Linked DNA regions of Arabidopsis thaliana. The protein of the gene in region 1 interacts with the protein of each later gene in a biochemical or structural test. Each region holds a gene or a part of one and is shown on either strand. Other genes may lie near its edges. The genes, in order: ABH1 and VIP2.

What was found.
Region 2: the proteins of ABH1 (region 1) and VIP2 form a complex in vitro, tested with the Arabidopsis thaliana proteins (one study listed by BioGRID).

What each region holds. Positions count from the first base shown.
Region 1 is NC_003071.7:5,631,995-5,648,955, reverse strand, and holds ABH1 (ARM repeat superfamily protein), read right to left. Parts: upstream 12,073-16,961; 5' UTR 11,904-12,072; coding exon 11,820-11,903; intron 11,736-11,819; coding exon 11,676-11,735; intron 11,577-11,675; coding exon 11,520-11,576; intron 11,035-11,519; coding exon 10,963-11,034; intron 10,855-10,962; coding exon 10,792-10,854; intron 10,619-10,791; coding exon 10,442-10,618; intron 10,258-10,441; coding exon 10,129-10,257; intron 9,906-10,128; coding exon 9,839-9,905; intron 9,660-9,838; coding exon 9,460-9,659; intron 9,245-9,459; coding exon 9,174-9,244; intron 8,712-9,173; coding exon 8,627-8,711; intron 8,481-8,626; coding exon 8,412-8,480; intron 8,321-8,411; coding exon 8,202-8,320; intron 7,895-8,201; coding exon 7,756-7,894; intron 7,555-7,755; coding exon 7,054-7,554; intron 6,964-7,053; coding exon 6,664-6,963; intron 6,580-6,663; coding exon 6,334-6,579; intron 6,251-6,333; coding exon 6,143-6,250; 3' UTR 5,890-6,142; downstream 1-5,889. Other genes in the region: AT2G13550 (uncharacterized protein), read left to right, coding at 1-148, 328-406; AT2G13547 (uncharacterized protein), read right to left, coding at 1,572-1,784; AT2G13542 (defensin-like protein), read left to right, coding at 5,341-5,401, 5,618-5,787. UniProt on the Arabidopsis thaliana protein: Component of the cap-binding complex (CBC), which binds cotranscriptionally to the 5'-cap of pre-mRNAs and is involved in various processes such as pre-mRNA splicing and RNA-mediated gene silencing (RNAi) by microRNAs (miRNAs).
Region 2 is NC_003076.8:24,050,215-24,066,308, reverse strand, and holds VIP2 (VIRE2 interacting protein 2), read right to left. Parts: upstream 8,932-16,094; 5' UTR 8,153-8,931; coding exon 8,138-8,152; intron 8,030-8,137; coding exon 7,921-8,029; intron 7,839-7,920; coding exon 7,660-7,838; intron 7,579-7,659; coding exon 7,206-7,578; intron 6,763-7,205; coding exon 6,568-6,762; intron 6,452-6,567; coding exon 6,353-6,451; intron 6,065-6,352; coding exon 5,976-6,064; intron 5,874-5,975; coding exon 5,793-5,873; intron 5,642-5,792; coding exon 5,231-5,641; intron 5,143-5,230; coding exon 5,090-5,142; intron 4,993-5,089; coding exon 4,951-4,992; coding exon of another isoform or gene 4,929-4,950; exon of another isoform or gene 4,887-4,928; intron 4,862-4,886; coding exon 4,723-4,861; intron 4,633-4,722; coding exon 4,573-4,632; 3' UTR 4,227-4,572; downstream 1-4,226. Other genes in the region: EXO70H7 (exocyst subunit exo70 family protein H7), read left to right, coding at 305-2,209; HSP18.2 (heat shock protein 18.2), read right to left, coding at 3,192-3,677; AT5G59700 (Protein kinase superfamily protein), read left to right, coding at 11,207-13,696; AT5G59690 (Histone superfamily protein), read right to left, coding at 14,349-14,660; AT5G59680 (Leucine-rich repeat protein kinase family protein), read right to left, coding at 15,508-15,916, 15,999-16,094. UniProt on the Arabidopsis thaliana protein: Transcriptional regulator required for Agrobacterium-mediated stable genetic transformation by T-DNA integration in host genome, but not for T-DNA transient expression.

The DNA.
Region 1 (16,961 bases):
CCAACCTCCGAAACAGATATAGAAGAGAAATTGGTCCCCGCACTCCCCAACACCATCAACCCTACAACCATATCACCATAAAAACGAGAAGGAAGAAATCTACAGACGAAATTAAACAAAGACGCACAAGGCCAGAATCAGTGCTAAGGTAGCCACCGCATTCTAGCCTCAAAACTGCAAAACCTCTTTAGACGGCGGCTGGTTTTGCGAGAGAGAAAACTAGGTTTTTTTTTGTTTTTTTGAGTTACTTACTCGCTTACATGAGTAACTTTTTTTTTCTTCGAAAAAACTTATCTCCGCTTTACGTCGAACTTGAATCTTTGCTAGGGGCAATGGAATGCATGATCAGCATTGGCGATACAGATACCTTTGCTACCGATTGCGCAGATTTGATCTCTCTCGTTGATCACCAAGACGATTGACCAACTTTTGCAACGGAATTGGCCTCTTTTTGGTATTTAGTTTGTTTTTTCTCTTCTTTCAGCATTAGCTCGTAGTTTTAATACTCGAGCAGATTGTTTAGCTAAGAACTCTCGAAATCGTAATTGCCTTTTCTCTCATGTAAGCAAATTGGTTCATGAATGACTTTTTGTAGAATAGAGTATATTTCCTATAATCTTATTATATAAAGTATGGTTTTCAAAGTTACTAACTCGCGTGATCGTGACACGTATCAAGTCTATCGTTCAGATGTTGACATGACAAAAAATATTTACTTTTTTCTTAAATAAATAGGAAAACTAAATAAAAGAAACATAGATATTTAAAATATTTAACTTTTAATTTTTTAACTAAAAAGAAAAACTAAAAATAAGGTGGAATGTATAGACTAAAACTATATTTGTATTACAAATCGACTTGTATTTCAGTTTGAATACAATCAAATCAAAATGTATTGTATTATGATAAAGTAGATATTTAAATTGTTTTGAAAAATTGAATTTGTAAGATTAAATTTTGGTTGAAAAAAATACTAAATTAAATATTTGAAAAGTGTATGAGTTTTTTTTTTTGTAGGCTGAAAAGTGTATGAGTTAATATATAAAATTCAAATATCAACTATAAGATGGAGCGTATAAAATTAAAATAGATTTAATTATCCTCAAATAAATAGTTAAAATGTATAGTAAAATCGAATGTATATGATTAATATTTTGTTTAATACAAAAATTACTAAATTAAATATTAAAAAGGTGTGTGAAACACTATTTACTATTCAAATTTTAAAATTATCGATAAAAATTTGAATTTATATCTTACACCCACCTATTTAGGCGGGCTTTATCTAGTTTAATATAACTGGTGATGCGGAAAAGAAAGTAACTTATTTTTACTCTTTTTTTTCTTCCTCTGTAGAAGAAAAACTTATGACTACAAAAAACCATAATCAATATATGAAAAATATAAATTTTTAATGTTGTCTAATTTGGTAGCTTACAAGTAGCAATTGTGTGGTGTGATGCACAAATCTGTGGATACTAATCTCAATTTAACGTATATATAGTTGATAAGATTTTAGTCTTTTTTTTTAGTCGGCCAACGATTTTATTAAGAAAGGCCCAATGGACTTTTTACATAGGGAAACGCCCAAAATAAAGTACAAGCGTAATTTTAACGGTCGAGATTAAAATCCTAATCTTTAGATGCTGACACGTGTTGAGTGATGGAACTCCGCCGAGCCACGCGTCAGGTAATTGGACACCCCTGCATGCATCACGCCGAACACCGCCAACTGTGATAGCCATCGCGGTCCAGTTCTGTATCGGTGGTAAGTCCCTTCCCATTTGCCGGTCTCCAGTTCAAGCCTAAAACGCGAAGAAACTCGGTTCAATTTTATGATAAGCTTCAAAAAACTTCGAGCAACTCCAACTCCGGGGAAGCTCCATCACGGACGACACCGAACTTGATGTAGTCGGATCTTGGCTCTAAACTTCATGAGCCAAAGGAGATGATGAAGATATTACTCTACGAGAGGATGGGCAAATCAGTTGAAATTTGAAGAAAAGCAGAGTTTTCAATAGGCTAGAAGAAAGGAGATCAATCTCGCGAGAGCGAGAAGACAAAAACCCGGACATAGCCGGTAGGAAGAATCCGACATGAAATCAAAATTTATTTAGATCATATATAGATAAGATTATAAACAGATCTGGTTAGATCCTTTTTGGCGACATGCTTTACCTTTCTGAAAGATCTGGAAGAGTGAAGAGAGGTAAAGTTCTTATGGTAAGAGGTCGCCGGATTTTAATTCTAAGAAACCGGAAATCACCTTCTCTCTCTGAAGAATAGATGTGAGAGAAGAGAGAGACGCTTCCTCTTCGATAAGATTTAGTCTTAGTGTGTTTAAGGTCAAAAAGATTATTCAACTTTTGTTATAACTATATGAGTACCCATGCTACGCATGGGTTTGTTTTGAAAACTATTTAAAAATATTTAAATTGATTATTCTTTTTAGTAATTTATGTTTATTCTTTGTTTATTCTTGTATTGTTAATAAAATTTGATTCATAATATATAGTTATAATTTTTATGGTTAGATTCATTTGTGATTCGAAATATTAATTTATATATTTTCATATATAAAGCTGATTATTTATAAGATTTTATTATTTTTTCACTATCATGAATACATATAACAACAATATATGATATTTTGATACAATTATGTATAACTATATTACTTGTTTTGTTTAAAATTTGCCTAACTCGATTATAAATAAATTAATTCTTTGTTTTATGTACTTCAACAACATTGTGATAGGCTCATGATTAAAGTTTAGATCGACATCAACTGAACAAGATCTGAAGAGTATTTGTATGAAAAAAATAAAAAGGTAGCGAAAATTGAATATTATATAAGTCAATACTTTTGGATTTTCTGTCATTGCATATATCAATATTAAAGAAATGATCGTGTCTTGGATGATTAAAAAATTGTCTAACTTGATTATAAAGAAACTATTGAAATTATTGAAAAAAATAGCCCAAAAAAATACACAGTCATATGTAAAACCCTAAAAAATCTATTTTACAAACATGAAAAATGGATAATACCGGGTTTTGCCCTAATTCCTAAGCTATAAATACCGAGTCTCGGCCACACAATTATCGTCCAGTTTCTTTTTTTCCTCATTAGATAGTTTTGATATTATGATTTTTTATATAGCTACAAATTTTTTTTATGAATCTAGTTGTTTATTGTGTGCTTGTGTTTGATAAATTGGTGTTTATATGATATTACTGATTTGTTTATTTTATTTTTTGAGTTCCATGTTCGTTTGATTGTGTCAAATAAATAACTTTTGGGTATCATCTAAATAACTTTTCTGGTATTTTTTAAAAGAGATGAAGATTTTTTAATAATGTTTTAGTTGTTTTTAATTACTTATTATTTTGAGTTATATTTTGATTCTGTAAAAAGTATTTATGGGTCTGCCGCATAGGCAGACCCAAAGAAGATTAAAGGAAGTCAGCTGGTCCCCCAAAGTTCAACATTTGCATTATAACCCTTTAAATTTTATGATATTATTTATATTTCTTCTCTTTTGATCTTCTTAAAATTACAAATTCGTATGTAAACTTTTTAACTATTATCGTATTTTTTTTCTACTTTGTGTTTTGACACTATTTCTTACATGTTTTCCCGATCTTTTTGTAACAATTACGTGCAATCCTAAATGGTCTGAAGTCGTGCGTTACCTAGCCAGGCACAAGCTTAAGCGAGAAGATAGGCCTGATATCATTTGCCGAGTTTTTAAAATGAAATTGGATAGCCTTATGCACCAAGTGATAAAAGAAAAGACGTTCGGCAAGTGATAAAAGAAAAGACGTTCGACGATGTTAACTGAGGTACCATAGTCCCTTTTGAAGTTTATAATTCTTGGTTTTGGTTGATATTGTGTTCATATTTTAGTTTTATATTTTATTCATATTATGAATAAGCTACCCTTTTATGTTTCAGCCATGTATACAATAGAGTTTCAGAAGCGAGGATTACCGAGAGTATGATCATTCGTACCTTCGTGATCCTGTTTTTTGTGTTTTGATGTTTTGGCATGTTGAAGAGTATAAAGGTATTGACTTATATTTATTCATTGTATTTTCTAAAAACGGTAGAAAACATCACTAATTTAATATTTTACAGGAAAACCATGTCTCATGAATAGAGTTGAATGCTCTAAAATTTTTTTTCACCCGGAGTTTTACGAACTTGAGGAAATCAAAAACTGGTAATATTCAGCATTTAAATTCATATATTGTTGGATATACATAATCCATACGTCTAATGACCTATTAAATTTATATATATAGTACACTCTCCACCGCTTATGCTTGGGTTGCTACGAATTCAAGATGTTCCGGTTTGGATGATTGAGTGATAATGAAAATTTTCTACAAAAATGATCGATGAGTATTATGTTGTTATGGGTTTTAAGGAATGTTTAAATACTCTGTTTTAGAGACGGTTTGTTTGATCATTTGTAATATTATGTAGAATTTCCAAATCTCATAAATATGTTCTATCAATAAAAATTAAAAATTTATTTCAGAAAAAATTCTTGGCCACGCAAGGCGCGGGTAACTCCCTTAGTATTTCTTAAAGCCTTATTATTTTGGCTGTAGAAATTTTAGATATTCAGATTTTTATTTTCTCTGTCATCTATTATAACGTATTATATACTTTTATTTACATTGTCACTATGATATATATACGTATATATATACTAACTATTAAATAAATATATATATTTTATTACAATAATAATAATAAGCTGAAAACAACAACGTCAAATATACACATCACCATGTATATTATATAAAATTATATATTGTGCATATATACAAATTTCCTCCTTACTCATGTATATTATAAGTAATATTTTGAATGTTTATATTAATGTTATAATAGATACTTTATTAAAAAACTAAAATATAATTTTTATTACTGATTTCATATAACTATTTCAAATAATATTTTTTAAAATTATACAATAATGACATATAATAAATAATTACGAATCATTTTTCATTTTCTTTATAAAGTTACTGCCAAAATTTTACAGCAAAAAAAAACTAAATCTACAGCTAACACATCTACAGCTAAAAGCTTACAACAATTAATTTACAGCTACAGCCTAACCAATCACCCACTGTTAAGTCACATTAAATTTTAGTCAACCTTATATTAACAAATATAAAACATTCATTTATAGTAATAATAAGAAATGAAAGAGTAGTTCAAATTTGATATTTTTCTCCACAAATATATATCATATAAATTGAGTTTTTCATAAAGATCTGAATTTTTTTTAAAAGAGAGGCTATTTTTCTCAAGTGAATATAATGGATGTCACAAAAACTTATGTGACTATTTTCGTTGTAGCGATATTGACAATTTCGGTTTGTAATTACAACATCTTGGCAACACAAGGAATGTTTTTATTATTCAATTTACAGAGATTATTAATTTATCGAATATTAATTTAGAGAGGTTAACTGTTTTTTTGATCATTTGAAGAGCAATGGTTAAACATTATCTTTTCAGAAATTAGAAAAATGTTTTCATGGAATGTCTTACATACACATATATATATATATAACTTGGGTTATAAAATTGCAGTGATCCAAATCCAACAATATGATCGTTGCATTGGGCCATGTTTGAGATTTTACGGAAATCATCAATGTTACAAAAACTGTAGAAAGGCGAAGTATGATGGAGGACAGTGTGATTTTGTTAAAAAAGGTGAAAAATTACCAGAATGTTGTTGCTATTATAACAAAAATTGATACTCATTGTAGTAACCGGCTACTTGAGTCTTGAGCATTATGTTTGTCTTCAACTTCTTAGTATAATAAATTTCTTACAATAAATTAATATTGTTACTCATAAGCAGACAATTTTATAGTACGGTTGCTCAATTGTGCTCAAATCGGAACATGCAGTTCCCTTTTTGGTAAATGAAATGCTTTCGATATTTGCGTAGGCCACTCTGAGAAACGAGCTCCAGAAACAAGACTGGTGTTAAAAGTTTAAACTCTTGTTTTTTGACTCTTTTCAATTTCCTAATAACTTGATGTCAGAATCAGAATCTCATAACAAAAAACAAAAGAGACAGGTTTGATTGAGATTGAAAGAGGAAGATTAATGTAATGGGAATTGAAGTGCAGAAGATATGGCTTGGAGAAAGAGAGGATGCACATCTTCACCCGAGAACACTTCTGACTCCAACTTCTCCATGTGAGGCCATATCTACAAGAACATGGTGAAACAAGTCAATATTCAATCTACTAAAGCTCTTACAACAACATCCCAACTATTAAGTTATTTTTTACCTCGCTCGCATATTGCCTTGTAAATGCCGTGAGATAGCCAAGTGTTGATAAGCACCACTGTTCTCTCTCACCGACTTCGCAACTCTTCTTTGGGTTTCCATTCTCGCTGTCCACGTCCATCGCAGATGGCTTGTCATCTTCAGCACCTATAGATTTTAGATCCTGCACTGATCTCACTTTAGTTGGATCTGGGAGCCGTTCCTTCAGTACACCTAAGAAACTTTGGAACAGCAAGAGCAGTAAAACCTATGCACAAGTCAACTCAATTAGCTTTTAGTAGATAAAAGGAAATAATAAGATCATGTGCTGCATTAAACTAATATATAATACCTCGGTCTCAGAGAGAGCTCTGTTAAGAAGAGCCTCTTTTGCCTCTAGGGACTCCCGAAGAGATAACTCCGCTTCCCCTGTCTTCTCCACTGTTGATTTTAAACGCTTCATCTTCGCTGGATTCTCACCAAGAACGGGTTCACCTTCCACTAGGGAAAGTTTGCTCTCAGCAGCCTCCAACTCTACTCGTGCATTGGCTGAAGCTTTCTCAGCAACCAAAACATTTTTCGTAATGTTTGATATATCTTTCCTCAAATCAGAGATACGGTTATAAGTCTTGTTAAGAGCATTGCCAAGTATCTGCAGAGACAGAAACAGATTTACGAAGATAAACAAACTTGCTCTGCAGAGTGTAGAAAATAAATATACTTCTGTTAAAACGCAACTGACCTCCCATGGCTGATCAGACACATGAAACTGATCAACATTTTCTGGAGAGAACACCCATCTAACAATTGCCTGATTAGATACTAGTCTATAACCCATCATCCTATCAATTGCCACCGCCGTCATTTGTACATTGTTTTTCCAGTATGTACTCACTTGAGATAATAGCATCACCTGCTTATCGTTATCAGGACAAAGCTTTGAAAATACTTGGCCATATCGCTCCAGGACAGTGACCAAATGAGTGAAACTTTTTGATCCGATGTCAAGTAAGGTCTGTACAACTATTGTAAGAGTAACTTCAAAACCATGAACTGGATATATCGTTTCTTCAATCCACACTATCATGTCACGTGCGGTTTGTTTTTCCTTGACCTTCCTGCTCAATTCGGCTGACAATTGCTGTTCTTCTGTTTTCTCTTTACCTTCTTCCAAGGAATACATAAAATTCGGACCAGCTTTTGGAGGAAGTAATTCTTCTAGGGCAGTCGCATTCTCAATGCTCTGTTAGACACACATAGAAAAAACAATATAGCCTGAGGAAGGATATCTGATGCTTAAGTTTGGAATGATATATCCATGTGGATAACAAGATGAAACATTGATCCCCCACAAAATGGAATAAGACAAATAACCCTAGGCTAAGAGAAAAGTATATCTGATGCTTAAGTTTGGCAGCTATTAGGATATCTGACGATCTGTTACCTGCTTAATTTTATCCCAGTAAGACAAGCGTACTTCTCTTTGCAAAATCTCCTGAACAAATACACGCTTAGGGGCCCACTTGGGAAGATCCAACACAAAAGCCCACTCTTCCCACGGCCAGATGAATTGGAAGTTGGATCTGTTAAGCATGGAGTTATCAACATGAGAGTAGAGAGCAAAACGAAATACGTAATCAACTTCATGTGATGAATAACATATTTCTCAATTAATCGAGAAAGTAAGACTCAAACACGACCACTGTATCATGTAAACGAATCGTCAGTAATGCTGACTGAAAATCCATATTTTATGTTTCAATAATCCATATTTTATAAGCTAGGTAACTTTCTAACATATATGGAACATTCACCAAACATTCGACAATAAAGCACCTTTTCCAGATTACAAAAAATCAAGAGGTAAGAAATATGAAATTATATACTTACAAGTGGTGAGAAAACCAGAGGATAAGACGCGTCCTGGATTCCATGTCTAAGTCGGATATTTTCTCAAATAGTGCACGAACAGCGCCAGCAACAACAGCAGGAAAGGCACCCGGAAGAGCCTAAATTAATTGAATATTTGGAATCAGGTTGAAAAAAGAAATAACAGCAGGGATTTAAAAACCATCGGATGAACAGTATAATCCTTTGTACCTTACAAAGATCCATAATCACGAGTGTATAATAAAGAGTCTTGAATGGTGGCTGGGGTAGCAGCAGTATCTGAAAAACAGTAGATACAATTGTTATATTTAAAAATCACAGATCTTGGAATTAATTGGTATAATCTGCCAGAAACGTATGCTTTTATATTACAACGTGAATACTCACTAGAGAGATAATCCCAAAATTTATACAACAGAAGTTACCTGAGAAAATAGTGTCTCTGCCATAAGATACTCGTACCGAAATGTAACAGGAAGATTAGCCATGTAGGATGCACACTCCTTCCGACTAGCTTTGCAATAAATTAATTAGTGAAACAAAATTCTATATAATTTAAGAAGGCAAACAAAATTTAGTAACCAGAAAGAAAGAGACTTAGCATAAGCTAAGATGTTGATTAGAAAACATGTATATGCTAGGCAAGTCTACAACCATAATAATGACTTAAATAAGTATATGCTAGGTTCAACTAGATACTCAACGCAAAAACACTAGCCCTTAGTAGTAGCCAATTAGTCGCCCAGCTGAATCAGTGACCATATTATTCAAAGAGTAAGTCATGAACTTAGATTAATACACCATACTCTAAGGTTAATAATTTAGAAAACACGTGACTAATTTGCTATGGTTGGGGGACAAAAACCAAGATCTACACCAAAACCAGCATGAATGGACGACCACTGTGCAAGAAAAATATAGAAGAAACATACAAAAACGTCAAAAGAACACAAGCTTTGGGAAAATACACACCATCCATTCAAATAGAAGAGCACATCCAGCAAATACTCCTCCACGACAAAACGATCAATTGGTTGTACATCCTGCGAGTTTGATAGTTACAGAATCAGAAGAAAGGGTAGACAAAGAAAAGGAATACAAAAGGACACCATATAACCCATATATCAATCTACAAATATAATAGGTTAGAAAAAAGAAAAATGTTGACGACTGAAAAGGTAGCAAGTATAATAAGCTTCCATTAGCATGAAATATGTCCTATTCAGATAAACAATGACATCAAAAACCAGAATATTACCTCCATTTTATTAGCTGGAAATATATTCAACCTACGAATTCTCTGGGGATATCTCGTCAATGCATCATGCTTTTGCTTGCCACTGTATGCCCTCGAATGATCAGAAGGTGGACTCGGTTGTTCCATACATTTAATGGGACGTAGCTCATGAAACTTTCCAGCAACGAGTTGAGCTTCAAACGAGAGATGAGGCCTAGGTACTAGCACATTGAATATGCATGAAATTGTCAATTGTAATATACAACTAATATCTCTAGTCATATGAACTGATCAATTTGTAAGTCAAACAAGGTAGATAAGGATATTAAAAGAGAGGGTTCGTAGAAGATTGCAATCTTGTAATACAAAGAGATATGAGAAGTTGACAAAATAAGCATACCGCTTTCAAGTTTCCATCCATTGGAAGCCAGAGACTGAATTCGATCCAATAGATCCTCCACGAAATCCTAACGAGACACAAATGAGAAAGACGAATGACGCAGACCAAAAGTTATCACACCATGATACAAAATTCAACAGATATCTATCTCAAACAAAAGCAGAAATGAAACGTCACATCCATGCATCTTATTTATACATTTGCCAAGACATCTACCGAAACAAAATCAGAGGGGCAGCTAACACAAAGCAAATACAACAACTTCAAGAATTAAACACTAAAAGGCAAACCTTCTCTGCAAGGCTGCTTTCAAATTCTCCGTTGTGAAAAAAGTTTAACCCAGAGGTGGAAGAATTCTTTCGGATGCTCAAATAAGCTTGTATCCCAACTAACACTCTTTCAATCTCATCAGGAACTTGCTGCAAACCAAAGGGAAATTCAGCGGCCATACAAGTTAAGATAATAGATATGAAAGCAGACTAACAAAGTTGGTTGCAGATCCAACAAGGATGACATCATTATAAAATTGGAAACGCATATCCAGTATTCTAATAGCCTTCAATGTAAATAATTTCTAGAATGTATTTAGTCCAAGAGCAGTACCTCAGCGAGTTCTGATCCTCCCCACGGGAGGCTGGACAAGATGCATATAACGTAAAAGTCAGCTTGTGGCTGCCATGATGGATTTCCTTTCTCTTCATCCACAGTAGTGGCAGCAGATGATAGCAATGTTTCGAAGACGACAATCAAAGAAGCAGGTTGAATAACCTTACTGCACAACTAAAGAACCCAACTAAAACATGTTAGAAAATAGACAAAACATCTCAAAATTTTCACAAATACTGTTCTATATACTTCGCACTTTTATTTTTTAGACGCTTTCTGTGTATTAGAAACATGAACTAACATATTAAATAGACGAAGCAACCATGAAACATGATTAGCAACCATACCAGGGAAGTCATAAAGCGAAGCAATATACGGATACTGTTGCAGTTGCCAGAATCTAAAGCGACCTGGCATGTTTGACCAAGAAAAACAGTCACATTAGAAACAAAAGTAACTGAGAAAACTTATGTTATCAATTTATCCTTGGCCTTTGATGTACAGATTAGATTATTCACCTGGAAATTAGCGTGGACACTTTCTACTAGCTTCTGGACAAAATCTTCATTCTCCAAGTTCAACAAACCAATCTTAAACATGTGGAAAGACATCCATCAAACTTCGAAGTATGTGTATCAGATTAAATCGAACTAATTTATAACAGGGAACAGGGTATCTCAGTTCAAAAATAGATCCAAATGCTACTTACACAGATAAGAATTATACACAGAAAATATTCAAGCATTCTTTATTACTCAGAAGTTAGCAAATATTGATGAATACTATGAATAAATAGATTCCTACAACATGTTATATATGATATAATAGACACAAAATGATCCACCTTAAGGGCATTTCCACTATTATTTGTGTTTCTGAAGTGTTCATTTGTTTCAAGTTAAATGCCTTCCGTTATTGCTTCGAGCTAATTATTCTTCGATAAGAATCAGTTCACAGATACCATAACATACTCAATCAAAACCTCCACATATATAACACATCTAAATGCAAGCCCAACATCCAACACATACCCAGAAATGAAAAAGCCAAGGTAACTAGTTTATAAGAGACTTACCAAAGTCCCATACAAAGGAATCTTATGAGGCAATTGTTCAGCACATTGTAGTAGAAACTGTTAAGACGAAAACAAAAATAATGAGAACACACAATAATAATATCCACAGAGATACATCACAACAGATCCTAAAATTGAAGGCTCGAAGTCACTTACAGGCAAAACTTGATCTCCAGAACGCTCGATTTCTCTACGAATGACACCGAAACAAGTCTCCTGTATATAGAGAATCGGAAAAGTTTTGAGTAGTGAGAAAATTAGGGTTTAAGAGCGAGGATGAATCGAGAGAGAGATACTGACGATGTGGTCTTTGTAGTCGGAGGAAGTGCCGTACTCAGGTCCCTTTTCGCCGATGCGAAGGAGAAGAGTTTTCCAATTGCTCATCTTCTTCCGAGAGGTTTTTCTTCAGTTCGTCTCTTTGTTGTTTCTCCTTTGGTATCAGTCACTCTGCCCTAGTTTTTTTTTTTATGTCCGTGTCTCGTCAAAACTAATTTTTTTTTTTTTTTCTCATAAGTGTTGTCATCTAAGAAAAGGAGTTCACAAAAAGAGTTTGACAAAAAGTTTTTCTCTCTCTTCTTTCTCTTAGTAGCTGAAACTAGCCGTTAAAACAATAGTCGTCCCAGTTAATTTGGAGCCTAAAGACTTTTCTCTCAGGTGTTCTATTCTGAACGGAGCTTCTACCAGAAATATTTACGTGTTCGGTCCGGTCTAAATTGTTGTTTTCTTCCTCGGATTTTTGGTAGTTCTGACTCTTTCTCTGTTACGAGAGTTTGCTTTGTGATTCTCAGTTCTGTGTTGGTTATCATCTGAATTACTCGGATTTCTTCACTGTTTTTTCTCTTGGAGTTTGTTTCCTGCAAATCAGGTTTGACGAGTTCGGGAAAGTTGTTTACTCTCTATCAGGATCTCATCATGGAGCTGGATAAAGCCATTCAGAATATGTCGATTTAAGACAATAAGCCTCTGATTCTTTCTGATCAACCGCGCTTTTGTTCAATTAACAGAAACAACTGTCGTTAGTTGGGTAGGTTTTTGAATCTAGAGAATCAAAGGATGTCTAATTGGATATTAGATATGCCACGAATTTGGAGAATTTCTTCTCGGGTTAGAGGTGTTGCTCTCTCAAAGGATCGATTCCAATTTTTCTTCAAATCTGAGGAAGATTTAGAAGAAATTATGAAAATTGGAGTTTGGACAGAAGATAAATTGGGGTGTAGTCATGGATAGATGGATTGAGAATCCTCCAATTGATTATCTGAATTTTCTTCCAATCTGGGGTCGAGTGAGGAATATTTCGGTGAACTATTATACTCAGGACACAATTAAAGAGATCACGAGCTGTATTGGGGAAGTGAAGGAGGTGGTGATGGACTCTGAAAAATCACAGTTTCAGGACTATGTTCGTGTTCGGGTTTTGTTTCATGTCGCCAATCCACTTCGTAACAATAAAGAGGTACAACTTCCATCTGGTGAAGTTGTCACAATTTCTTTTGACTATGAACAGATTAGAAAGAGATGTTTCTTGTGTCAAAGATTAACTCATGATAAAAATAGATGCCCATCCAAAGTCTTAGATTCCATCAAACATGATGTGAGATCATTACAAGAGAAAGGCAAACAGAAGAAGATGTTTTTACCGAGGCTGGCTGAGTTTCCCTTTCAGTCAATTGCTCCCAAAGGAAGGGTAGATGCTTTGCCAGCAAATCCTCTATCAGCTACTGTTGCAATTGATAGTCATCCAGAGAATACTTTGTTAGCTGAGATGCTAGATTTGGACATTAGTACTGGATTTACCACATGTGTTGGTGAGGCTAGTTCCTCCACTTCAGGGTTTAAACATCATATAATGCAGGATTTCACTCCTTTTCAGTTCAGGAAAGAAAAACTAGTTAATGAGCTGTCTCTGAAGAATAAGGTTATTCAGTCTCCTGCCTCTCCTCATTTTGAAAAGGTGTTCAAAAGGAAAAGAAAACCCTCAGACATTACAGAAGCTCAAAGTTTCAAGAGAGACAAGAATACGGTGGTTCCAAGTGAACCACCGTTGGATCAGTAAGGCGTCCTTAGTTGGAATTGTCAAGGCTTGAGGAATCCTTGGACAATTCGACACCTTAAGGAGATGAAAAAAAATCATATCTCGGACATTTTATTCTTCATGGAGACTATGAATCCTGACGAGTTTGTTTCAAAAGTTATTGATTGGCTTGGTTATAACTATATGTATACAATAGAACCTCAAGGGAGAAGTGGTGGCTTAGCAATCTTTTGGAAAAGCCATTTGGACATTGAGATTCTTTTTGATGATAAACATCTTTTGGATCTTCAGTGTTCTTCTAGAAATAAAGTATGCTTTGTTTCTTGTGTTTATGGGCATCTGGTGACATATCTTAGGCCTTAGGTTTGGGATAAGTTGTGTAGTCTTGGATCACATCGGAAGCAAGCTTGGTGTATGATAGGTGACTTCAATGATATTAAGTCGAAAACGGGAAAGAGAGGGGTCCGAGAAGAGTACCTTCTTCGTTTCAATCTTTTCAAGACATGTTGAATACTTGTGATATGCATGAACTAGGTAGTACAAGCAATGGCTTTACTTGGGGAGGGACTAGAAATGGTCAATGGATTCAGTGTAGATTGGATAGATGCTTTGGGAATTCCTCTTGGTTTTCTTTGTTTCCAAATTCTCACCAGTGGTTTCTGAGAGATTTGGATCTGACCATCGTCCTGTTTTAGTCAAGTTTATTAATGATAACGAGTTGTTTCGTGGACAGTTTTGTTATGACAAAAGAATAGCTGATGATCCTTCTTGTATTCAAGTGATTTCCAACTCTTGGACCAATGCAATGTCTCAAGGTTCTCACTCCTCTATCTTTAGTCTTATTGAATGTCGAAGAGCTATTAGTGTATGGAAAAAAATCAGCTGATACTAATGCTTAGAGTAGGATTCAAAGATTGAGGAAAGATTTGGATTTGCTGAAAAGTTATGAGTTTCCAAATTGGCCTAGAATTGCATATATTAAAGATCAATTGGGTCTTGCTGATGAGGATGATGAACTCTTTTGGAGACAGAAAAGTAGTCAAAAATGGCTGTTTGCTGAAGATAAAAACATTGGTTTTTTCATGCTTCTTTGAAATCTTCTAGATTAGGGAACTCTTTGAGCTTCCTTCTGGATGAAAATGGACAAGAACACACCAGGATTAGTGAGAAAGGGAAAATTGCTTCTTCGTTCTTTCAGCATCTTTTTTCATCTTCTTATCCAATAGGCCAGGATAATTTTTTGAATGGTTTTCAAGCAAAGGTTTCATTGGATATGAATCAACAATTAACTCAAGATGTCACAGAATTGGAAGTGTATAATGCAGTGTTTTCTATTAATTGTGAAAGTGCTCTAGGACTAGATGGATTTACTGCTTTGTTCTTTCAACAACATTGGGATTTGGTTAAAACTCAGGTCTTAAGCGAGTTTTTTTTTTTTTTGAGAATGGTGTTATACCACAGGATTGGAATCACACTCACATTTGTCTCATTCAAAAAATCACAAAACCGAGAAGTATGTCGGATTTAAGACCCATCAATTTGTGCTCTGTCTTATATAAGATCATCTCTAAGATCCTCACTGCCAGATTGAAAAAACATCTTCCAAGTATTATCTCTTCAACTCAATCCGCTTTTGTTCCTCAAATATTGGTTTCTGATAATATCTTAGTGGCTCATGAACTGGTGCATAGTCTTAGAACTAATGATAGAATGTCAAGAGAAGAGATGGCCTTCAAGACTGATATGTCTAAGGCATATGATAGGGTTGAGTGGGTTTTTTTGGAAGCTATTATGAAGGCTCTTGGTTTTGACAGGAAATGGATTGCCTAGATTATGCAGTGTGTAACAACTGTTTCTTACTCTGTGCTGATTAATGGGCAACCTTATGGTCACATTATTCCAGAAAGAGGTATTAGACAAGGTGATCCCCTCTCTCCAGCTTTGTTTGTTTTATGCACGGAGGCTTTAATTCATATTCTTAATGAAGCTGAAAAGAAAGGAAAAATTTCAGAAATTCAGTTTCAAGCTGAAGGAATATCAATAAACCATTTGTTGTTTGCTGATGATACCTTGCTTTTGTGTAGGGCCACAAAGGAAGAATGTGAGGAACTATTGAATTGTTTATCTAATTATGGTCACATTTCTGGCCAACTGATTAATTTAGATAAATCTGCAATCACTTTTGGGGCCAAAGTTGGTGATGATCTCAAGAATTGGATAAAACATCGGTCTGAAAAATTTCTTTAGAAGGTGGTTTACCTGACTGTTTACGGGGTTCTAAAAAGGAGCTGTTTGGATTTATTAAGGAAAAGCTACACACTCGTTTGACAGGCTGGTATGCTAGAAAACTATCTCAGGGTGGCAAAGAGGTTTTACTCAAATTTATTGCTCTGGCTCTTTCTTTATATGCAATGACTTGTTTTCGACTGCCGAAGACTTTGTGCAAAATTTTGACCAGTGTGATGATGGATTTCTGGTGGAATACTATGCAACAAAAAAAAATTCACTCGATTGGATGGAAAAGGTTAACTATACCTAAGGATCAGGGAGGGCTTGGTTTTAAGGATCTGCAATGTGTTAACCAAGCTTTATTAGCCAAACAGGCATGGAGATTAATTCATGAGAAAGAAAGTCTCTTTTTCAAAGTTTTTAAGAGCATGTATTTTTCCAACTCTGATCTTCTTACTACTATTAAAGGAACTAGGCCCTCTTATGCTTGGAATAGTATTTTGTATGGTAGAGAATTACTCATTCAAGGTTTAAGAACAATCATTGGGAATGGGAATCAGACTTATGTTTGGACTGATAAATGGTTGAATGATGGACAAAATAGAAGACCAATGAATAGGCAGCTTTTAATGGATATTAAGTTGAAAGTTAGTCAACTTATTGATTCTGTGTCTAGAAATTGGAATCTCAACATGCTTAGAGATCTGTTTCCTTGGAAGGATATTCAGTTGATTCTCAACACAGACCAGTGGTTTATAAAGAAGACTATATTTGTTGGGATCACTCGAATAATGGTCTTTATTCGGTTAAGTATGGGAATGATTTGATAAGCAAGAAGACTCATAATCAGTTGTATCAAGAGTCTGAGGTTCATCCATCTTTAAATCCATTGTTTGCTAAAATTTGGACTTTAAAGACAGTTCTAAAAATTAAAATCTTCCTCTAGAAAGTTTTAAAAGGGGCAGTTGTTGTTGAAGACAGACTCAGAACTAGAGGAATGATTATTAAGGATGGATGCTTATTGTGTGATGAAACAATCAATCATATTTTGTTTCAATGCCCTTTTGATAGACAAGTTTGGGCTCTTTCTCATTTGTCATTTTCAGGCTTTGAATTTTTGGGTTCTGTTTATGCAAACATAAGCTCTTTGTTTGATTTACCACAAAGACATGATATTCATC
Region 2 (16,094 bases), on another chromosome or scaffold:
TATTTGACACCGCGTTTGACTAATCAACCATTCTTCTCCACATATCTATACGTACACTCACATATACGCATATACGTATATTTCATTGAAAAAGCCGTCGTTTCTATAATATATATAGCTCATTCCTCCACCTTCCTCATCTTATCTACTTCACTTTTTGATTACAAAAACCAAACAAACAAACAACAAACCAGAAGTTTTATTTTTGTTAAAGAGTAACCAAAAAAAAAAAACAGAGTACCTTCTTCTTCACACACATAAAAAGAGACGGTACCAAAAAATAAAAACAGAGCAAACCACAAAAATGGGGAAGCATTTATTCCGATCATCTCCTCCACCGGAGAAACCAACAGCTCATCTCTCTCTCGCGGAATCAGCTGTTCAAGAATGTATGAGCAACATCAACACCGTCATATCAAAATGGACTTCTCCGGCTGCTTCTTCCTCCGACGACTTCCTCTTCTCCACCAACAGTCGTCGTGAAGCAGAGGAGTTTGTTACAGCCGTTAGACATCTACAAAGCACGATGCATCGTTTGGTTTCCGTTAACCCTTCCTCGGAGAAGCTAATCTACGCACAGAATCTAATGCAATCGGCGATGAAGCTTCTCGAATCAGAGTTTCATCGTGTTTTAAAAGCGAACCGTGAGTATTTAGATCCTGAATGTGTCTCTGTACGTTCTTACAGATCATCGAGATTCAGTACTTCGACTACGACTAGTGTCTCCGATTCCGAAGACGAAAGCAGTTACGAAGAAAACGCCGACGAAGAGCATAGATTCTCCGGTGGAGATTCCGACGCAATGGATGATCTCAAGATGATTGCTGATTGTATGATCTCTACCGGCTACGCTAAGGAATGCGTTAGGGTTTATAAAACCGTACGGAAATCGATTGTTGATGAGACGCTGCATAATCTGCAAATGGAGAGATTCAATCTTCATCAGGTTCAGAAAATGGATTGGGAGATTCTCGAATCAAAGATCAAAACATGGCTAAAAGCTGTGAAATTAGCTGTTAGAAAATTGTTCTTCGGTGAGAGGATTTTAGCTGATCATGTTTTCTCTTCCTCTGGTTTAATCGTTGAATCTTCTTTCACTGAGATTACTCAAGAAGGAGCATTGATTCTCTTCACTTTCCCGGAATATGCTTCCAAGATCAAAAAGTTAACTCCGGAGAAAATGTTTCGGTTTCTGGATATGTATGAAGCTCTTGCGAATCTCTATGTTGAGATTGAATCAATCTTCTACTTCGAATCAGCTGCTGCGGTTAGATCTCAGGTGATAAACTCGTTAGCTAGACTCGGCGATGCGACGAGGTTGATGATGACGGATTTCGAATCGGCGATTCAGAAAGAAACCTCGAAGACTCCGATCATCGGTGGTGGTGTTCATCCTCTGACTCGTTACGTTATGAATTACCTCTCCTTCCTCGCTGATTACAGTGATTCCATCGCTGCGATATTCGAAAACTGGAAGCTGAGTGTGCCGACGCCGTTGCCGGATTCTTTATACATAAGCGGCGGCGATGAAGCGAATCCGGAGGATCTGTATTCGTCTCCGGTCTCTGTACGTATCGCTTGGGTGATTTTACTCACGCTTTGTAAAATCGACGGTAAAGCTCAGCCGTATAAAGACGTTGCTTTGTCTTATCTCTTCCTCGCTAACAATCTCCAATACGTCGTCGTTAAAGTCCGATCGTCGACTCTGAAGGTTCTTCTCGGAGACGATTGGGTGTTTAGGCATGAAGAGAAGGTGAAGCTGTATGCTGATAAGTTTGAGAAGCTTGCGTGGGGGAAAGTGCTGGATTTACTACCGGAGATTCCGACGGATGAGATTTCGCCGGAGGAAGCTAAGGTTTTGGTGGCGAGATTCAACGATGAGTTTGAGACGTCGTACCGGAAACAGACTTCGTGGGTTATACCCGACCCGAAACTTAGGGACCAGATTAAAATCACGTTGAGTCAGAAACTTATGCTGGTTTGTACCGAGTTTTACCGGATGAACCGGTTTGCATATGGTATGGTTGGAGATAATGAGGCTATTTCCAGATATACCCCTGAAGATATTGGGAATTACCTCTCGGATCTTTACTTTGGGTCTAGAGGCTCAGGGAGTGTTTCGACAGCTGGTGGGTCTGGATCCGGATCCGGATCCGGAACTGGTTCGTCGAGTACGGGTAAAGCTCGTGGCGGACGTAGTAGTCATTGAATGAGAATCTCGTGATATTAGTTTTTTTTTTTTCTTTTCTTTAATTTGTGTGGTTATAATGTAACCTATAGTGATTGATGTGTCGAATATCTTATTCAATTATGTGTGTACAGATATATGTTGAATTATTGAGCTCTTCTTTTCTTAAAAGCAAATCATTCGATTACTTTTGGAACTTTGTGATTTTATCAACGACAAAAGAAAGTACAAAGATTATTGAGCAAATAGACAATTAGACATATACGTAAAAGACAATCATAAGTAGCTCTCACTCGTGAATCTTTTGACTAACTGTAATTTTTTTGGTGGTATATAACTTCATGTTGGTACGAGTCCACATTCCACAATACAATAAAAATAAAAGTAAAAAACAAATTGCAAATGCAAATTGCTTATGAAATAAATACGAAGCTGACATTATTAGTACATAGACTACCAAAAAATTCTAAGAAACAGAAAGGTCGACACGATAGGAGGGTCGGTGAATCTAATCAGGTTCGCATTAATGCTTTAATTAGGCGATTCCCGATACGTAGTCTCACGTTACAATTAGTACTAAAATAAACGTAAACCGAACTTAATCTCCTCATTATGTGCCATGTTTTAAATCATTTGTTTTGCGGTTATTACGCTTACTTTTTTCTACATCTTTATTTTATAAAATAGATCATGAAATAGCATGATGAAGGGAGGTTTATAGGTCCCTCGCCTCGTTTTACTCTATGAGCCCATCTTATCTTTAATCATATTCCATAGTCCATACCATAGCACATACAGTAGTTATATGCTGCAGAAGAGATCCAACAAAACATTCACAATGGATTATAGAAACATTTGTTTATTCATTATAATGAGATCTTACATTCATTTAATATTAGAAAAAGCCACAAATTCATAACACAACAAGCCAAGAAAAAAACACAAACTTAAGCACACAAGCTTTTTATTTGACACACCAAATATTTCATCTTCATCTTCATATTCAATTAGCCCCGGAGATATCGATGGACTTGACTTGAGGCTTCTTCTCAGGCGCTTTCGGAACCACAACCGTAAGCACACCATTCTCCATTGTTGCCTTCACTTCTTCCATCTTTGCATTCTCCGGTAACCTAAACCTTCTCATAAACTTCCCACTAGCTCTCTCCACACGGTGCCACTTATCGTTCTTCTCTTCGTTCTCCTTGCTCCTCTCTCCGCTAATCTGCAGAACGTTCTTGTCTTCAACCTCAACCTTGACTTCTTCCTTCTTCAGGCCTGGCAAGTCCGCTTTGAACACATGTGCCTCCGGCGTTTCCTTCCAATCCACTCTTGCGTTTGTAAACGCTGCCACATCACGAGCGGTTGAAGCGTTTGCCAACGCAGAAGATGGCGTGAAGAATCCTTCGAATGGATCCCATAAGTCTTGCGAGAACGGATCAAAGACGTTTGATCTGCGTCCTCCAAAAATGCTTGGAATGAGAGACATTGTTCGTTGCTTTTCGGGAGACTTTTGGTTCTTGATTTTCCTGCTGATTTGATCTGATTAGCAAAGGACATATTTATAGGGAAGTTAGAGGATGAAGAGAGAATGTTCTTCGAGTTTCTTGAATAGAATAGAAAATGCTCCTTTTTCTAAAACCTTCGCTTGGAGTCTTTAGAACACATACACAATGATCACTGTGGTGAAATGACCAGATTTTTCTTGGCATTTCAGGAAGTTTCGTTTGTTGAAACAAGACCGAAATGCAATCCTTGGTTACAATTAAAACTACGTGCCGTTTTGCTTTGTTGTTGTATTATCCTCTTCGAGATACGGGCTCAGTGAAGCGGATCTTCTTTGCAAAAGCCCATTTCTTAATAGGTCGGAAGTGGAATTTAAGAAAATCTAACTCAGAGAAAAGAGGACAAAATCAAGATTTAAGATTATTAGCTTTTCGCCAAAGGAAAACTATAGTAAGTTCTCGCAATAACAGTTGGCACTAAATTTCCGAGAATGTCAACAATCTTTTAATGGATTTTTTTGTCTCCATATATACAAGAACTGAGCCACGTTTTTGTGACAAACATAGACAACATATTTACTAAACAAGTAAACTAAAAAAAAAAAAAATCTAAATGATTCGATTCAAGTATCAGTTACTGTGATCAAAATCTCAACTTATTTATTGCCTGTTCATGTCATGCTTGAACCAGAAGAAATGACCATGGAAAGTAATTGTGATTACCTTTTTGGGAAACTTGGGGTTAAAAATTGAAAATGTGATATGTCATGGTTTTGGTTTCTAATCAATAGAACTTGCATGAAAGAAAGAAAGAAAGAGAAATGAAGAGAAAAGCTTTACATTGTAAAGATGCTACTAATTGAACAAACCTACTTGTCGTCAAAGCTGCAGCAAGCTTGGTCTCTTTTCCATAAGCTCGTACTTGATAACAAAATGTTCCTGCGATAACCATCACCAGCAAAATTCACTCATAACACTGCAAATTCGAGAACAAGGAAATAGATATTCCTGCAATAATCGTCGGCTTACCTTTCTCACTGTTTTGAACGAATTTGGATCAAGGTATTCGTATGTTCCTCTTTCATATGTAGCTGCCCTGACTAAAGGTTCCCCGACTCTGAAGAACCATACTCTGAGTTCCTTGTGGTAAAACCAACCTCTTTCGTAACTGCAACATGTCAATCGAACTCAAAAGTCTCAGCCAAAGAGAGCGGAGTAAACGAATAGATCAAAGATTACAGTAGAGAAAAAACATACAGTTCATCTGCTGCGTACAGCTGTGCTTCATCTTTTGGCATACTGGAACAATAATTAGAGCAAAGTAATAAGTTTAAAAGCCCAAGGTTAATTTAGGAGTTGGGCAAATGTGACGCTGAATGCTGATCTAATAACAGACCTGTAAAATGTGTAGAACAATAACTCGTAGGAGAACCTTTTGAAACTAGCTCGCTGCAACAAACGGAAATAATGACACATTTGTTAACAAAATCGAGAAAATACTTTGTTGGTACTACTCGCAACAACAGAGGGAACTTACAGTTAGAGGCGGAGGTTCTGTGGCGTAGTAACAATTTGGTACTGTGAACTCGACCTCGCTCTTTGCCGGTTCATTTGTCCAAGGAGACGCAAATGTCTTGTAGAGATTTCCAGTTGAATTCAAATCCAATCCTAGCGTCGTCAAGTCGATGCCAAGAGCAAGTGAGGTCAATTCAGGGTTGCTCCTGTTTAGTACGTCTAACAAGCCAAGCAAGCAAAAAGGATCTGCCTCTGACTGTGTCGATTTCATCTCAGAATCTCTAAATTGGTTGATTGATGACATCTGTTGCACAGGGAACTGGGATTGATTTTGATGTTGCTGATACTGCTGAATAAGCTGATCATAACCAATACTGGAAACTGCATTAGGCGAGCTTAGAGGTCTAAGGCCAAGACCCTGTAGCCCACCAGTCTGGTATTAAATAAGAATTAAATGATAAGATACGGTAGTTGGAGCAAGTGTGGCCCAACCACATGATGCAGTACCATAATAATATGAGATATGCAAATTGAAGAAAGTTCCGGCTTGTATACATATAGGGATAGGAGAGACTGCCACTCACAGATGAAGTATGTTGTGGCTGTTGTTGTGGACGATGTGATGAATATGTTGCTCCCAAGTTGAAACCACCAGATCTACCCATCTGCAAATTTGCAATATCCAAACATTAATTCACATCAACAACCATATCAACAGAAAAAGGCAGGACAACACTTTGTTAACTTCGAAACAGTCTAAAGCTTACAGAAAAGTTTTGAGAGTGCATCATTGACATAGCATTGTCATGCAGTTGTTCTTTTTGATGCAAATCCATAGGATACTCAGAATTACCACCTGCAACAAATCTACTACGCTTGTGAATGATCCAGCAGGTTTAGCTTACATCATTAAGAAGCACATCTTATCATCTTTCTCATGCAATAAGCTATAATATGAAGGAAGCTAAGAAGTTTATGAACTTGGAAACGGACTTTCATGAGATTTTGGAGAATAGCATAGAGGAAAACTTTTCAAGATAGGGGAAACTAGAGACGATATTCCTCACTACGTGCACATAAAGTCTGCAAGACCCAACTTTATGCACAATACAATACAAAGTTATCGACAATAAAAGACCAGCACCTTTATATCCAGGAAGGGCAGGAAAGTCTTCATTTTGGATGCTGAACTCCTGGTTTTGTTGGACAAGTGGAACTCCTAAACCTTGTTTCCTCAAAGAGCCTAAAAACACCACCGCAAGAGTATGAGGAAACAAGACATGATTTGGAAAATCTTTTCAAAAACTTATGTTATATTAAGTATATGAATTTCAAAAGATCTTCAGATAAACCGACTACCTAGATGTCCTTGAGTGCCACCAGCAGACCCAGGACGACTTGTCAGCTGGGGAAAATCGTTGTTGATGTCAAATAGAGAGCTGTCGTTAGGATGATCACTGAGCATCATATTGTTAACTGACTGAACATGATTCTGCGAAAGCGGGCCACCACCAGTATGATAGGAGTTCCCCAGCATAGACATGACCTGAGATCCTGTACCATACAATTTTACAATTAAATTTTTACTGCTATTTCCACATACAGCAGCTGCTAACTAATTGCATGTTTAATTAAATAAGATTTTGTGTAAAGTAAACAAGCTCGTCTTACAAAGTCCAAACAATCCCAGAGTACTGCTTTCTCTACATTCTAACGTACTCACGTGAGTCTAGAGAAGTATAGACTACAAAAGCAAAACAAGTTCAACTGCTGATATCAATCCTACCCCCTAAATGACTAATTATTCTAACTTATTTTCCACAGGACCTCCTAGCTACTAGACCAGTAAAAAGGTGTACTCCATGAAGCAATATATTCTATTTTATTTACAATGCTATAACAAGAAGTTAAACAAGGCTCGGCTCAGTTGTATCAAATGAAAGGCAAAAAAAACCTTGAAGACAGCAAATGGAAAGGACTCGATAAATCATATATACCTTGAGGAAGTACTCCACCCATCATTCGGTTCTGTCCCTGAACATTTAATCCTGATCCGCTATTTGCTGCCAAATTTAGTCGTGAAGACAGACCAGGAATAGACAATCCACCAGAGCTAATATTCCTCCCCAAGTTACCTCCACCAACCATGTTTCCCATTGAATTTGTTATTCGAGGACCTGAATTTCCCAACAATTGGGATATTCCCATCCCTGGAACACTATTCCGATTACTGAGTCCTGCAGATGTAGAGAGAATTCCAGGAATAGAACCACCAACTCCATTAGCGTTACTACTGAATCCAGGGTTGCCAACAACATTAAGACCTCTATTTGGGATTCCCGAATGCCCATGTGAGCTACCATGGGACAACTACAAAGCAATCATCGTATAATATAAGACACAGATTAAGAACAAGAGCCGTTTTTTCACAAAATTTTAAACAACATGCACCTGAGAGAGATTAACAGGTAGATTATTTGAAGCAAATCTTCCACTGGAAAAACTCCCATTAGGTTGTTGAACTCCGGCAGATGGTATACTATTCATACTTGAGTTTCTTGATGTAAGTGTACCTTGCATGTTCCCGACATTATAGTTCCCATGAATATTATGAAGTCCCTGAAGATTTCCTGCATGAAGAATATGTAGAAGTTATATAAGTTCAGAACGACGCAAAATATAGAAGAAGGTCAAGATAAGAATAACACCCACCAGTATGATGAAAAGAGGGAGACGGTGCACCAGATTGTCCAGAATAAGAAGCAGTAAACGATCTGCCCGAACCATCTGGTAAATTCGAAGCTGAACCATTGAGAGATGACTACAAAGGAAAGAGCACAAGAGTTGATGGATGAGAAATGGTACGCATAATTAAGCAAACGTTATCCTAAGCACACTAAAAATATTCTCAAGGTGAATAGGAAGGTACATGAAGGTTTGACATTGCACTAACTGACTGACAATCTCACGTGAGACAATGTATCATTCGGTGACAAGACGCGAAACCGCCTACAATCTGAGATGGAATAAACGATTACTCAGAAATGAATAGCCTGGAAAAAAGGAAGAATTCAATAAACCAAACAAAGGAGACATAAATCTTATCAACCATGGTGCAACAACAGACGAAGCTACTGTATAAACTACATATTGTTCAAAGTAAGATTGAAATTCTCATCCTTTGAAGGTTTATACACAGTAAACTTTCATCTAGAAACAAGAAGATAATGAATCAGCAACCATGAAATAAACTTCTAGCAGGAAATCAGAAGTCCAGGAAACGATTCAGAACAAGAAAAAAAAACCTCACGAGGATCCAATAAAGAAAAAAACAATCAAACGCAAGCGTAATTCAACAGTTGTAATAATACGACTGAGCAACAACACAGGATCCTAAATTCAGCTATCGCGATGCAAATTCAATAGTAAGATAACAAAATTGAACTCCGAAAACCCTAGAAATGACGTTGTTTAAATCTGTTCACACTCAACAGTAAAAAGGAGAAGGATGCGTACGGAGGAAGAAGAAGAAGAAGAAGAGAAACAGTGCCCAATTAGAAAACTCTGGAAGAAAAATTGAGAGAAAGGGTTAAGAAGAATCCGAAGAAGATTTTTCGTGAAGTTTCGTAAATTGGGAAGAAGCGGAGATTTTGATTCAATTTGGTGCCCTAAATCGGAAAACGGATATAGGAACGAGAGAAGAAGCAAGATTTAGAAAATTGGGATCGATAAATATTTTATTAAATAAAATAAATAAAGGAAACAAAATATAAATATTAGTTTTGTGCCGAATGATTGGTGATGGAGGGAACTTTCAGAGGTCACGACAGGCCCCACGAAACCTTCTTACTCAGAAAGAGTGTCTTTTGTAAGGAGAAAAATTCCTTATTTGCGGATCCATGTTTGGGCCTATTTGACCAGGCCCATTAGATACACGATTCACAATTTTACTTCCAAATCAAGAATGATGTTGATGTTTTACTTTGTGGAATCATGAAATCGTAGTGTAAAAGAAGAAATACTGAAGTAGGTGAATTCTGTTTACAAGATTACGAAGCCTAAATCAAACAAAACGACAAAATTGTGTGTTTTGAAGGTTGTAGTTAAAGCTAAAAGTGTTGAATAGTAACTATGCCTCTTATTCAGCTATGAATGCTAAGATGTTTTGTATTTAGTTAACATGAAAATGACGTTAGATCTTTCAAGATAATTAAAATAACGTCCATTAATGCAATTCAATCATATGATCTAAGCTTGTCAAAGTTTACAAAAAATAAGAAAAAGGCCGTTTCTTTAGAAGATAAGTTATTTTTGCATGGGCTTTAAAATATCACTAAGTAATCTTAGCACAACATACAACTCAATTTATGTTAATATGTGTAAATTTGAATTTTATGTTGTATTTGTTTTAAGTGAATCAATATAAACAAATCTAAAAGTCATTCTCCTTGCGACATCTCAACCAATTTTTATTTTATTCTTCTTGATTATGCTTTAACATAGTATAGAATTGTTGTTTCCACTGTCCAAACAAATGTGTCGGTAGACAACACAGGTCCACAAATATCATTTTAGGCTGAAACTATTTTGTACAACATATGATACATGCTTGAACTTGGATATTACACACGACACTAACACAAGCACTAGATTATGTAAATGATCATTTATACGTTGATATCCAAGAATTATATTATAAGTTCCCAATTGTCAAGAAAAACATAGTGGGCTCATCATATTATAGATAATTTTAGTAAATATAGCGACATCTTATCGATCCTTTCAGATAAACTCTATTGTATGTCATGTTCCATTTAGATGAAAAGTAGGGGCGGTTAATGTCGTCATTCTTCATTTATATCCAATCTAGAACTTCTAGATCTTTGACACATATATGTATGTGACCACCTCATTTCATTTAAAATCTTTAAGCTTCTGTTTCGTTTTGATTTATGAAAAATCTCAAGGCTAAGTAGTGTATGATACTTTAAGTATAAAACTTAATAGCTCAATTAACTAGTAACAAAAACTTGAAATGAGACTATTGTGACAAAAAAAAAAAAACTTGAAATGAACTTCCAACAGAACGAACATGGAATAGTAAACTCATGATAATCTATTTATAATGCATGAACAGATGCCGAAAAAAATCATGTGTCCCGTGCTTTCTTCATAAATATGGTCGGAAGTTTGGTATATCCTTAAAAAAAATTACACAACCTACATATGTTGACTTTTTTTCCAACCTCCACTACCATCCTTAATTTTTTGGAATAAAGAAAGTATATATTTGAGATTTAGCATATGTGACTGTGAGTGACGAACCGACGATTGCATACAAAAATGATATTATAATTATAATTATAATTAACAAGAAAAATATATAGTATTGTTGTAGAGAAAAAGTTAAATTATCGCTATTTCTTTACAGATTAAAAAGTGGTAATGTAACATACCCACTAACGTTTGTGCAGTTTTTTATGGTAAAATCTGGGAAATTTTCGTCTTCTTCCTAACTTTCATAGCCATCAGAAAAAATCAGACTGACAATTCAATTCAATCCCTTCGTCTCCTATATTTGCTCACGTCAATTTATTTGTCGTTGCATCTAATACACAAATATTAAATTAATAACTTTTTATATATTCATGTTTGCAGAGTTCACAAAAAAACCCATCTCTTGTTTGTTACTACTCTGTTCCAATTTCCAAACCCAAATTTTATTACACAAAAGCCAAAATCTGGAGATCAATCTATCAGCTGATCCTCAACTTTTGTACCTTTCATGGAACAATTTACTCTTTAAGGTACAAAAAATTTGTTTTTTTTGTTACTTAATTTTATCCGTTATGATTTTATTTTTATCTGTCGTTATAAAGTTGTCATCTTTGGTAAAACAAAACCGTTGATTTGCTCATGTCGTATATCCCTTGAATCTAGCTGATAGATTCTTTGTCTATTCCCATCGAATTATTTAAAATTTCCAGGTTTTGTGAAGATGGGTGGTGAAAAGTTTGGATTTTTGATTTGGATTTTATCGATTCCTTGCTTAATCTTCCTCTGCTATGGATACGTACCAGTGGATAATTACCTCATCAACTGTGGATCATCAACCAACGTCACTGTCACTAGTCGAGTGTTTATCTCTGATAACCTTGCTTCAAACTTTCTAACCTCTCCTAATGAAATCCTCGCCGCCAGTAATCGCAATTCAAATTCAGATATTTACCAGACGGCGAGAATCTTCACCGGAATCTCTAAGTACAGATTCTCCGTTGCTAGAGGCCGTCACTGGATTCGTCTCCATTTCAATCCTTTTCAGTACCAAAACTTCCAAATGGTCTCAGCAAAATTCTCTGTTTCTTCAGAAACACATGTTCTTTTGAGTGATTTCACTGTGAGTTCCAGAGTTATGAAGGAATACTCTCTGAATGTAGCTACGGATCATCTGGAGCTCACGTTTACTCCCTCGGGTGATTCATTTGCGTTTCTGAACGCGCTCGAGGTTGTTTCGGTTCCTGATACGTTGTTCAGTGGTGATCCTTCCTTTGCAGGCAGTCCTGGGAAGTTTCAGGGCTTGTCATGGCAAGCTCTTGAGACGGTTTATAGAGTGAACATGGGCGGTCCGCGTGTTACGCCTAGTAACGATACTCTTTCGAGAATTTGGGAGCCTGATTCTGAGTTTCTAGTTGAGAAGAATCTAGTTAAGAGTGTGTCTAAGATTGCATCTGTTGATTATGTTCCTGGTTTTGCTACAGAGGAGACTGCTCCTAGAACTGTCTATGGTACTTGCACCGAGATGAATTCTGCGGATAACCCGTCTAGCAACTTCAATGTGACTTGGGATTTCGATGTTGACCCGGGTTTTCAGTACTTTCTACGGTTTCATTTCTGCGATATCGTGAGTAAAGCTCTAAACCAGCTTTACTTCAATCTTTATGTCGACTCTATGGATGTTGTTGAGAATCTTGATCTGAGCTCTTATTTATCCAACACTTTGAGTGGTGCATACGCGATGGATTTTGTCACAGGATCAGCAAAACTGACTAAAAGAATCCGTGTGAGCATCGGTCGATCGAGTGTTCACACGGATTACCCTACTGCGATTCTGAACGGATTAGAGATCATGAAGATGAATAACTCCAAAAGTCAGCTCAGTATTGGAACATTTTTGCCCAGTGGTTCAAGTTCAACCACTAAGAAGAATGTTGGTATGATCATTGGTTTAACGATCGGCTCATTGCTTGCTTTAGTGGTTTTAGGAGGTTTCTTTGTGCTGTACAAGAAACGAGGACGAGACCAAGATGGTAATTCAAAGACTTGGATTCCTTTGTCATCCAATGGAACAACTTCATCCTCAAATGGAACTACACTTGCAAGTATAGCTTCCAATTCCAGTTATCGAATTCCTTTGGTAGCAGTTAAAGAGGCCACAAATAGCTTTGATGAGAATCGAGCAATTGGAGTTGGTGGTTTTGGTAAAGTGTACAAAGGAGAGCTTCACGACGGTACAAAAGTAGCTGTTAAAAGAGCGAATCCTAAGTCTCAGCAAGGACTTGCAGAGTTCAGGACAGAAATCGAAATGTTGTCACAATTCCGTCATCGCCATTTGGTTTCTTTGATCGGATACTGCGACGAGAATAACGAGATGATTCTGGTTTACGAATATATGGAGAATGGAACATTGAAGAGTCACCTTTACGGTTCAGGTCTTCTTAGCTTGAGTTGGAAGCAACGTCTTGAGATATGCATTGGATCAGCAAGAGGATTGCATTATCTCCACACCGGTGACGCGAAACCCGTGATTCACAGAGACGTCAAATCCGCCAACATATTGCTTGACGAGAATCTCATGGCTAAAGTTGCAGACTTTGGACTGTCTAAGACCGGACCGGAGATCGATCAGACTCATGTGAGTACCGCGGTCAAAGGAAGTTTCGGATATCTTGATCCAGAATACTTCAGAAGACAACAGCTCACAGAGAAATCAGATGTTTACTCTTTTGGAGTGGTTATGTTCGAGGTTCTCTGCGCGAGACCTGTTATAGACCCGACACTTACTAGAGAAATGGTGAATCTAGCGGAATGGGCAATGAAATGGCAGAAGAAAGGACAGCTTGAACACATCATCGACCCGTCACTGCGGGGTAAGATCAGACCTGACTCGCTTAGAAAGTTCGGTGAAACAGGGGAGAAATGTTTAGCTGACTATGGAGTCGATAGACCATCAATGGGAGATGTGTTGTGGAATCTTGAATACGCTTTGCAGCTACAAGAAGCTGTCGTTGATGGTGATCCAGAAGACAGCACAAACATGATCGGTGAGTTACCTCTACGGTTCAATGATTACAACCATGGAGACACGAGTGTTAACTTTTCTGTAGCTAAAGAGGGACGGTTTGATGAAGAAGAATCGAGTGTTGATGATAGTTCAGGTGTTTCCATGAGTAAAGTTTTCTCGCAGCTGATCAAATCTGAGGGACGTTAAAGCGATGATAAATTGGAACCAGAATATAGAATCTTTGTTCTGCTCTAGCTTTTCTTCTGTACATTTTTTACGATTAGACTATGATTTTCATTCAATAACCAAAATTCTGAAGTTTGTCATCAAGTTGCTCAATCAAACTTGTACCGGTTTGTTTCGGTTTTATATCAGCTCACTGTTACACTTTAACCAAAATCGGTTTATGTCTTAATAAAGGAATTGAGTCGGTTTAACTCATATCCGTACCAATGCGACGTCGTGTCCGCGTTTCAGTAGCTTTGCTCATTGTCTTCTACGGGAACTTTCCCGGACATAGGAACCGCCCTTTCGTTATCCTCATCCATCGTGAAATCAGGAAATAAATGTTCGAAGATTTGAGGTCAAAAGTCGAATTTCATGTTGTCTCTTCTATTTAGATACAAAATTGAAGCAATTTTCACCAATTTAATGCCAAAATTTAAAACAACGCTGATAAAGTGAAACTTGATTCGATTTATATTTCAACCGAAACTGCTGAAGCAAGAAGAAAAAGCGTAATTACACATAACAAGAACGCTACCGCAAACTACTAAACGCCAAACCCAATACAAAAGTAAAACGCAGACGCTTAAGTGAGAAACCCAGAAAACACAAACGCGGATCTGAAAAACTCTAATTAACCACCGAATCCGTAAAGAGTCCTTCCTTGCCTCTTGAGAGCGTAGACAACATCCATGGCGGTCACAGTCTTCCTCCTAGCGTGCTCGGTGTAAGTGACAGCATCACGAATCACGTTCTCGAGAAAGATCTTGAGGACGCCACGAGTCTCCTCGTAGATGAGACCACTGATACGCTTGACTCCACCTCTACGAGCCAATCTTCGAATCGCAGGCTTGGTGATTCCTTGGATGTTGTCTCTCAGAACCTTCCTGTGACGCTTGGCTCCTCCCTTACCCAAACCTTTTCCTCCCTTTCCACGACCCGACATTTTTTCAGCGAAGATTTAGTTTATCTCGAGAGAAATTGATGTCTGTAGAAGAAGAAGAACGGTTAAGAGTAGATTTGGGTGAGAAAGATGTGAAATTGTTTTTATAGGCAAAGACGGAGAGTCTATTTTTTGAGCAATCAGATCGCATATTAAATCTAACGGCTGAGATATCGATCCGTGTGTACAATAAAATGATGTATAAACCGTCGATCTGTTTTAATCGACGGTTCATATTAGTGATCCGCGTGATGGCAGTGATAGCCACTAAGAATCGTCTTTTGTTTTACATGTGGCGCCACAAATTAGGGTAATGAAGCGGCAATATTTTGGAACTCGGAAAATAAAATTGCGCCATCACATTATTTGAAAATTTTCACATGCTTTTATTTTAAAAACCCACGAATTACAAGTTACAACCGAAAAAGATTTATAATATAGTGATTTATACTAATTTTGTAGTAGCTTAATGTATATTGATACTGGAAAAACAATGACAATCATATGTTAGTATTATCAAGTTATCGTATTGATATTGATATTGGAACATACAATGGGTATTGCCTTCTTTCGACCATAAATATCACCAAATTTACAAAGTTTGTGTATACCAAGTTATCAATTGTAAATGGGATGTCAACATTTTAATTTCCCTTTGAGAAACTATAGACCACAAGAACACACTTCAATAGATAAAGTAACTATTTACATAAGAGGTTTTAAAATCACATTAACAAAAATAATTACCAACCGGCACTCACAAATACAAACAGAGCACACGACATGTCAAAGCCACAAGTAAATTCGTTGAGTGGTGGTTTCATTACAATTGTGTCACTTGCAGCACAAACTATCTTGCTCTGGGAATCATCTCAGCATCAAAGATCATGCTCACTTCAGGGGAACTTAGTGTATCCATGCCTCGACTCATATTTCTCCTCGAGTTTTCAGACACGAGACACTCTTTTAGTTCAATAACAACATGAGACATGGTTGGTCGTCTTGCTGAGGTAGGATCCGCGCACGACATTGCTAGCTCAAGAGCTCTCCACGCAGAACGAGAATCATAATCACCGTTAAGCTTTAGATCCATGATCTTAGCAATATCTCCTCCGTTAAGCTCAGACCCTACCCATTGTGTTATGTGAGACTTTCTGCGGTTTCGATCAATCACTGCTTGGTTTGTGATCATCTCTAATAAAACAATCCCGAAACTGTAAACATCACTTTTCTCACTCAACCGACTTGTATGGTAATATCTACAAGGAAAGCGAATGGTATATACTCTTTAAGTATCGACGAAAGAAAAGAAAAGTTTCAGCACTGTTAATTGATTCTTACTCTGGATCAAGGTAACCAGGAGTACCAGCAATCACCGTCGAAACATGAGATTCACCTCCAACAGGGAAAGATCTCGAGAGCCCAAAATCAGCAAGT